3 linked regions of the Saccharomyces cerevisiae S288C genome follow. The protein of the gene in region 1 interacts with the protein of each later gene in a pairwise test. Each region holds a gene or a part of one and is shown in the gene's direction. Other genes may lie near its edges. The genes, in order: TYE7, ARR1 and BTT1.

Region 1 (3,298 bases):
CTCTTTTATTTCTTTACATTATCAGTCCTTGTATTGCGGCATCCACTAAATCTGATGATTGTTTCTTAATTCCCATGTCATCTTTTTACACAGTATATAATAATATGCTGAATTATACGATATCAAATTTCTTTGGGTGCGATGTAGATGATTCAAATACTCAATAATTATGCATGAAAGAAATCCATTATTCTTGGCAGGAATGCCTCAGGGAATATGGGACCATGACAAGAGGCAACTTAATAGGCATTTACAACCTTTTGATTGAATAATCTAACTATGGGATATAAAGAAGCCTCTAAAAAATTAAATGCCGATAACCTTGATGATTTTCGTATGCTTATTTAATGCGGCTCCCGTCAGCGCCCTGCCGGGTAATATGATTCCCTTTCCAAGTAAGAAGAGCGACAGATAAGCGCGCTTGTATTCATCATACTGCCGCTATGCTGCTTTTCAGTCTGAAAATCGGATGTAATCTGAAAAGCGGATCTGTATTACGATATGATATGGGCAGCCTTTGTGGGTACGATGTCTAGAATTGAAACATTTTTTAATTATATTAATCTTATCGTTTACTTTTTCACATTCTTATCAGTAGGGCGAAACACTAAGAAAAGAGGAACCTCTTTGCGGCTTACGTAAAAAATGCACTAGCCATGTTTGGCACGTTCCCTGCTTGAACTGACATTAGGGGTCGAGCACGAGAGAAAGCCTATTGCCATCACGTGGCAAGCCAGCAATGATCAATTAACAACGCTAAAATCGGCGTATATGCAATGCCAATCCTACGATACTGTTGAAGTAAGGGGGAGGGCGCTAATACGACTCAGACTGACATGCCCTAGTTGTGCTACAAAATTGTCGTTTATGTTACAAACACGTGTAAGATAGTAAAATACCCTTCTTGGACATTCTATTATGCCAAAGCAAAAAAAAATCGGTGAAATAAACCTGTCTCAGTCTGGTTTAGGAAAAGAGACATCACCACACCATGCCAAATGCGGCAACTTCCTTAAACCGCGGTGTCGTAGAACCCATTCATCCTTGTGTATACGCTATGCTGGGCGGTACTTACCGGATCTGGCAGGCACCACATGGGTAGAGAATAAATGACGCACGCATCTGAATGTTACACCCAGAGGTATCCCGGAAAATCTTCCTTTTGAAACCGGAACAAGCTGACCTTGACTTTCACCCGCGGATACTGCTTAGCCCAGTTCCGGCCGTACACAAGCCCTTCTGGAGTGGGATTGAGCTCACTTCATTGCGCTGTTACTCCCCTAACAACGTGGCCTCTCTCCATTCGGTAAGGAATCAAATTTTGTTCTAGAATGTTCATGCTGCTGCGGTCATTTCTTACCCTAGTAGTAATTCATTGTGCCCACGTACGAACCGTACAATGGGATTCTGCCCTGCGCACGTTCACAGTTCGCCAAATAACAATTCTCATTTTCATTTCTTTTTCACAGTGTAGATGATACCGTGTCTGCGACATTTCCATTCTTAGTAGAAATGCAAAACGCAACGTTTGCTATTAATTTTTTTCACCTCTGTTTCCTTTTTTTTTCTCACCTCAACAATCAAATGTACTTATATAAACTTCTTTTGTTATCTCCAAAATTTAAACTTATTTACATCCTTTTTCACTTCATATATCAATTCATGGGAAAGTAAAGCTATCTTAATTACATCCTTATTTTATATTTCCCAACCATCAACCTTTATTCTTTACATATTTCTCTCTTTTCTCATTTTCTTTCTTATTAAGCGTAAAGCACCACAAGCAGTACCGATCTAAAGTCTCTCTACTTTACTATTATTTTTTTTTTTTGTTCACTTCATAAACTTTTAGTGCAAAAATAAAAATAAAGACAAATAACACACTATCAAATCTCTTCAAGTTTAACAATTATGAACTCTATTTTAGACAGAAATGTTAGATCTAGCGAAACTACTTTAATTAAACCTGAATCTGAATTTGATAATTGGTTGTCGGATGAAAATGACGGAGCTAGTCATATCAACGTCAACAAGGACTCCTCGTCAGTTCTTTCTGCATCTTCTTCCACATGGTTCGAACCATTGGAAAACATTATCTCCTCTGCATCCAGCTCCTCGATAGGCTCTCCAATCGAAGACCAGTTTATATCTTCCAACAACGAGGAATCTGCTCTTTTTCCAACAGATCAGTTTTTCAGTAATCCTTCCTCATACTCGCATTCTCCCGAGGTTAGCAGCTCGATAAAAAGAGAAGAGGATGACAATGCCCTTTCGTTGGCAGATTTTGAACCGGCTTCTTTGCAATTAATGCCTAACATGATAAATACTGATAATAATGACGATAGTACCCCACTTAAGAATGAAATCGAGCTAAACGACTCGTTTATAAAAACAAATCTAGATGCTAAGGAAACGAAAAAGAGGGCTCCAAGAAAAAGACTGACCCCCTTCCAAAAGCAAGCTCACAACAAGATTGAAAAACGCTACAGAATAAACATCAACACAAAGATTGCAAGACTGCAGCAGATTATCCCATGGGTAGCAAGTGAACAAACAGCTTTCGAAGTAGGTGATTCTGTAAAAAAACAGGACGAAGACGGCGCAGAAACTGCCGCTACTACTCCTCTTCCATCTGCCGCTGCTACAAGCACGAAGCTAAATAAAAGCATGATCCTAGAAAAAGCTGTTGACTATATTCTATATCTACAAAATAACGAACGACTATACGAAATGGAAGTTCAAAGGTTGAAAAGTGAAATCGACACTTTGAAACAAGACCAAAAATAAAAGCACGCTTGCTTAAACACCAATATTATAAAATTACGATAGAAATTCCTTTCTCCTCTTTTGTTTATGCGACATTTTTTTCTTTCTTAGCGAAGTACTTTAAAAAACAAGCCCAAAAAATAACAAGGCCATAACATAGCAGACAAGAATACAAAAAAAAAAAAGAAGTTGGAAAAAACATACAAAAAGATAAAAAAAAAAAATCCCCACTAAAGAAGGATGATAAATCGTGATGCGCACTTTTCATACCTTTTTCTTTTCTATTTCGTATTATTCAAAAAAAATTCTAATTTTATTCCTCCTTTATACACATTAATGACGCGTGGTTCATAGCCAAGAAAGCACAAGACATGACGAAATTCCGTTTCAGCTACGGACGGATATGTATGCCAAAACCGAAAAAATAAAAAAAAATCAATTTTTTTTATTTCAACAAACACATACACCTTAATGATTTATACGAACGAACTCTTCTCAAACTTTTCTCATTTATTTTATTTTATTATCTTAT
Region 2 (3,055 bases), on another chromosome or scaffold:
TACCAGCTATGGTAAGACTTCCCAAACGTATGATAATGCCAATTCCCAGTGGTATGCCGAGAAAAACTCCGACAGACTTTGCAACCTCTTCGAATAATACCCTATTTGAAGTATTCAGGTGGTCATGAGAAATAACATAACAGTAAAATATCTGCAATGGTGCATATAATACCATCTGTAAAAGCGAGTTTGTAATAACAAGCACGACGCAGAGATCATTGTCTCCTCCAGCAATCTGATTCCAAATTAGCACCATGGCAATGCATCTAGCTACTCCGATCATAATAATGCCTTGACGGTATTCCTTATAATCGAATAGCGCCATCCACGCCAATGCTGTCATCAACAAAGGACCGATGACCCAATTCAAAAATAACGAGAGGGCTAGTTGCTTCCTTATATAGCTCCTGTAGAAGTACTTGTGAATAGACTCCCAGGAAACTTTGCAGATCGGGGGAATCATCATTACAATCATACCAACAGTCAAAGGAATGGACACTCCCATTAGATTGGGATGACCTTCAGCGTCAAAAGTGTGACGGGAAGAAGGCACATAGACAGAAATTATTACTGCAATGATTATGGAGAGAATTATAGTAAATGGCAACATCAAGTCAAGCCATGACAATGACTTGATCGTAGTCAGTATATCGGTGCGATTCACCATATTAACCTTAGAAGGTACCGAATTTTCACTTTTTTGATCTTCTGACATTATTCTACTAACCTGATGATTTGTTGGTTGGGTTCTCTTGAATTACAACGAGAGCATTCATTTATATTCTTTTCCGTTTACATTATAATTATGTAAGGAGCGTTGCCGCTAAAGTTGATTATTAATCAAACAAAAAGATAATTAAGAGCATTCAAAATTTGATTTTAAATCAACACTTTTGAAAAGTCGGTATAAAAACTAATGTATAACAAACTAATATTGAGGAAAACTTGACAATCCAGCAAGCGTAATGGTAAGTTTCATAACGTCTAGGCAACTCAAGGGCCTAATTGAAAATCAGAGGAAGGATTTTCAAGTTGTTGATCTTCGAAGAGAAGATTTTGCACGTGATCATATTACAAACGCTTGGCATGTTCCAGTAACAGCACAGATTACAGAGAAGCAACTGAATCAATTAATTAAAGGTTTATCCGATACTTTCTCAAGTTCTCAATTCGTCAAAGTGATATTTCATTGTACTGGGTCCAAGAATAGGGGACCAAAAGTAGCTGCTAAATTCGAAACCTACTTACAAGAAGAAGATATTACAAGTAAGTTTGAGAGTTGCATCCTCGTTGGAGGTTTTTACGCTTGGGAGACCCATTGTAGAGAGAGTAACCTTAAATTGATTGTTAGTGGTTGAGCTCCTCAAGCTTTATTGTTCCAGCATTAATGTAAAAGTCTTTTCAATATTTTATGTACGGCAAAACTTTTTAATTCCATTTTTTTTTTTTTTTTCGTTTCTTTTCTTATTAAATTAAATATAATTATAATTATAATATTCCTATCTTTACAAAATCATATTAGTATATAATTCTAGCATGCGGATGGTCTTTAAGGAGCGGCCGTTGAAAAAACATGTCAAAACGGAAGATAAGTGACCAAGATAATGGCAAAACCGCGTGGAAGAAAAGGCGGCAGGAAGCCTTCACTTACTCCACCTAAAAATAAGAGAGCTGCGCAACTTAGAGCATCCCAAAACGCATTTAGAAAACGAAAGTTGGAAAGATTAGAAGAACTAGAGAAGAAAGAAGCTCAGCTAACGGTAACAAATGATCAAATTCACATATTAAAGAAGGAAAATGAACTTCTCCATTTTATGTTGAGGAGTCTTTTGACTGAGAGGAACATGCCTTCTGATGAACGGAACATTAGTAAGGCCTGTTGTGAAGAAAAACCGCCCACATGTAACACTCTCGATGGTAGTGTGGTTCTTTCCTCCACATATAATTCCCTTGAAATACAACAATGCTACGTATTTTTCAAGCAACTGCTCTCAGTGTGTGTTGGAAAGAATTGTACAGTGCCGTCACCGTTGAATTCCTTTGATCGGTCCTTCTATCCCATAGGCTGTACGAATCTCTCAAATGACATACCAGGCTATTCTTTTCTAAATGATGCAATGAGTGAGATTCATACGTTTGGTGACTTTAATGGGGAACTTGATAGTACCTTTTTGGAGTTTAGTGGGACTGAAATAAAGGAGCCAAATAATTTCATTACTGAAAACACTAATGCAATAGAAACAGCGGCAGCGAGCATGGTGATTAGGCAGGGTTTCCATCCAAGACAGTATTATACAGTGGATGCTTTTGGAGGGGACGTCCTATTAAGTGCGATGGATATTTGGAGTTTTATGAAAGTGCATCCAAAGGTTAACACATTTGACCTTGAAATTTTGGGAACAGAACTTAAGAAAAGTGCTACGTGTTCTAATTTTGATATTTTAATTAGCCTCAAGCATTTCATTAAGGTCTTTTCGTCAAAATTATAATATTCTTCCTGTAAGCACAGCGCAACATTGTCTTTCTTATTGTTAATATATAAGTTAAAAGCCGAATTTTTCATTTATTTATATAGATGGCGTGAAGATTATTACGGTCAGATACCTTCGCCTATTTATGTACTTGCATGCGTTTAGATTTTATTGGAAAAAGTATTAATTTATCGTCTATCGACTAGTATTCACGTTACTAGTATATTCTGTATAGTTAATGATAGAGCCTTTATTTAAAATGGAAGTCCAATAACTATTTCAAAATCAAATTATATGTCAAAGATGTTCAACAAATTGGGAAGGCAAGAGGCGAGCACTAGGCCTGATACCCTTCTTAATGCCTTGACATACACGTGTCTATTTCTTTTTTCTTGTCGAGGTATTGAGGTATTGACCAATGCTGAATGCTTGATAATGTAATTAGGGATCGCGTACGACAAGTTTCAGCAATTGTTAGGGTGTTATTTTCATTGTTCCCGATTATGAGCACAATATGGCGGTCTTGTACTAGGATAACTTGGGCGTATGTTTCACTATACTAGAACCATGATTTTATCAGTGTA
Region 3 (2,824 bases), on another chromosome or scaffold:
ACTTATTGTTATTACAGCCGATATTATTAGCAGATGACTTTGGCGTGAAGACACCATATTTAGAATGTTTGTTTACAATGATGACTCAATATCAATTGTTAAATAAAGGTGATTCTGAATGGTTTATTAGAAAGGATGAGAACACAGCGTTAACTCGCGTTGATGATTTACAAAACAGTATCGCACTTAAAGATGGAAAAATCATGCAGCTGCAAAATTCGGAATCAACCCTGAAAAATGAGATAAAAGAACTTCAAAGTCAAGTTTTGAGCTTAAAACAAGAAGTGTCCTCAAGTAAAGCAAATAATGGACAAGAGTTGGAAATTTTAAAGAAGAAAGTGCAAATGGGAGACAATTCATTATTTGATCGCCCAAATAGTAATACTAATGGTATATCTCCCTCTGATAACATTGTTGATGTTGATTTAAATTACGAAAGGAGTGACCAAGGTAATAATAGTAGTGGTAATGATAGCAGAAGACAATCTTTTTTCAACTCCACATCTGATACAACATTATCCAGAGATGAAACCTCGTTGAAAGAGCGTGAGTTAGAAGTACGAATGAAGGAATTAGAACTTCAAGAGCGTGAGTTAGAGTTACAGAGAAAAGCCCTCCAGCAACAACAACAATATCAACAGAGACCGCCTAAGCAAGTATACTCCGGTCCTTCTGGTACACCAACCAGCGGCAATAACAATAATAAAAGTTACAATCCAAATAGAAAATCTTCCTATAGTCAGCCTCAACATGTGGCTATGATGACCAGCAGAGGTCTACATGGTCCTAGCGCTGCAAGCTCTAGCCCTGTCATTTCTGCCAACAATTTTGTTGATCCAGTTTCTTCTGGGACGCCATATAGCAGCAATAGTTCTCGATTTAGTCAGCAAATTCCATCGCAGCAATACATGCATACTGTTAAGCCAACGAGTAGAAAAAACAGAAGTAGTGTCATGCCTAATATAGGTTACGTCCCAGGGCTAACCAATAACGAGTATGGTAGAAAGTTTAACGGTAATGGTATGAATGGTACCCAAAGCCGTCTGAATTCACTTTCAAACCAAAGTACGTTTAGATCTCAACAGGGTCCACCGATAACACAGCAAAAATCGTTTCAAAATAACGGTGGTAGCATGAGGACAAATCGCATACCATCTGCAAATTACAATATTTCAAATCAGCAATCGGGTTTTGTTAACTCTATTTCAAGTCCAAATCTAAGCAATTTGGAGAATAGAAACACAGTACAAAACAGTAGAAATGCGGATTCTGCTCCGTGCGTTAATCAATTGAACAGTGACTCTCCGCCCCAATTACAGTCTCTATCTCAAAACGGTACCTCAAAAGTTCCTCAGATCAATATTACGCAACCATCACCAATTCAGACCAACTTTGCTACGAGTGATAACCCTGCTGCTGTAATAAAACTAGGGACACCTTCTGAAGATACAGTTTCAGCTGCGGCAACAGCCAATAATATAAGTACAATGGGAGATGAAAGCCGCAAAGAGGACGTTAAGGAAAAAAAGAAGAAAAAGTTCAGTTTCTTTGGAAAAAGGAAAAAGTAACAAATACGCGAGCCCTTGTCTTTCCAATCCAAATAATCCGTTTTTGTTAATGATATGTTATATTTTATCTACTTATACATTTTATCTAAAACACTTTCTATTTGGTTAATGACCAACGAGGAAGTTTGTAGCTTCAACACAACTTTAGATCATGTAATAAACGGCATATGCTTTTAAATGCTTTGTTTTGTTTTTTTCTTTTTTTCCCGCTGTGACAGAAACAATTAAGTTGCGTTAAAAAGGTTCCCTGATAGAAATAAATACGGCTAAATTAAATAAACTACTACATAATCCTACAACATCAAATGCCTGTAGATCAAGAAAAATTAGCTAAGCTGCACAAGTTATCAGCAGCAAACAAAGTTGGTGGTACCAGAAGGAAAATAAACAAGAAAGGTAATTTATATAATAACAATGACAAGGATAATACCAAGTTACAAGCTGAACTTCATAAACTGCATCCAATGACCATTGAAAACGTTGCCGAAGCAAATTTTTTCAAAAAGAATGGCAAGGTTTTACATTTTAACAGTGCAGTTGTACAGATTGCCCCTCAATGCAATCTCACAATGATTCATGGCCAACCGAAAGAGAATACACTTAATGGGCTGTATCCGAGCGTAGCCTCTCAATTAGGTAGCCAAGAACTTGAGTATTTGACAGGTTTGGCTCATAACCTAGAAAATGAACAGACGGTGCTCGACCAGCTGGGCGACAGATGCAGCGAGACAAAACAACAAGTGATGAATAGCTGACATAGTTCATAATAATTGCCAGTAAACGTTATAGCTAGTGGCGAATGTCGAAGTGGAAATGCTATCACATTAATGTTGCAGATGAATATATATTTTCTTATTTGAGAAGATACACGCTATTTACTCTTTCAGCCATTACTGCTACCATTGTGGTTGTTATCTTGACGATGAACGATGTTGGATTGCTTGACTTTTTTCAGTAATTCATTGATACCCTCACCACCCGCAGTTAGTAATTTAGTCCTGTTTCTCCTACATGTCAGTGTATCATAATGTCTTTTCAATGCATCTTTCCTTGCAAAACCTTTGCCACATTGAGGACAAATGTTAGGCAATATGGCGAAGTGTGTCTTTTCGTGCCTTCTCAAATCTGATGATCTTGAAAATTCCAACGAACATTTCGCACATTTAAATCTTTTTTCACCAGTACTATTTCTACGATCTTGGGGTTTGCTTTTGCTGGACTTCGGTGGTTTTGGTAATGCGTTTTCCTTTTTAACC

The links.
Region 2: the proteins of TYE7 (region 1) and ARR1 interact in a two-hybrid assay, tested with the Saccharomyces cerevisiae proteins (one large-scale study listed by BioGRID).
Region 3: the proteins of TYE7 (region 1) and BTT1 interact in a two-hybrid assay, tested with the Saccharomyces cerevisiae proteins (one large-scale study listed by BioGRID).

Annotation. Positions count from the first base shown.
Region 1 is NC_001147.6:976,683-979,980, reverse strand, and holds TYE7 (Tye7p), read left to right. Parts: upstream 1-1,911; coding exon 1,912-2,787; downstream 2,788-3,298. UniProt on the Saccharomyces cerevisiae protein: Transcriptional activator of glycolytic gene expression, such as enolase genes (ENO1 and ENO2), glyceraldehyde-3-phosphate dehydrogenase gene (TDH), phosphoglycerate kinase (PGK1), phosphoglycerate mutase (PGM1), pyruvate kinase (PYK1) and triosephosphate isomerase (TPI1) genes.
Region 2 is NC_001148.4:937,582-940,636, reverse strand, and holds ARR1 (Arr1p), read left to right. Parts: upstream 1-1,604; coding exon 1,605-2,489; downstream 2,490-3,055. Other genes in the region: ARR3 (Arr3p), read right to left, coding at 1-715; ARR2 (Arr2p), read left to right, coding at 966-1,358. UniProt on the Saccharomyces cerevisiae protein: Transcription activator required for resistance to arsenic compounds and for a regulated expression of ACR2, ACR3 and YCF1.
Region 3 is NC_001136.10:961,539-964,362, forward strand, and holds BTT1 (CCR4-NOT core subunit BTT1), read left to right. Parts: upstream 1-1,873; coding exon 1,874-2,323; downstream 2,324-2,824. Other genes in the region: PAM1 (Pam1p), read left to right, coding at 1-1,568; MET32 (Met32p), read right to left, coding at 2,452-2,824. UniProt on the Saccharomyces cerevisiae protein: Acts as a component of the nascent polypeptide-associated complex (NAC), which promotes mitochondrial protein import by enhancing productive ribosome interactions with the outer mitochondrial membrane.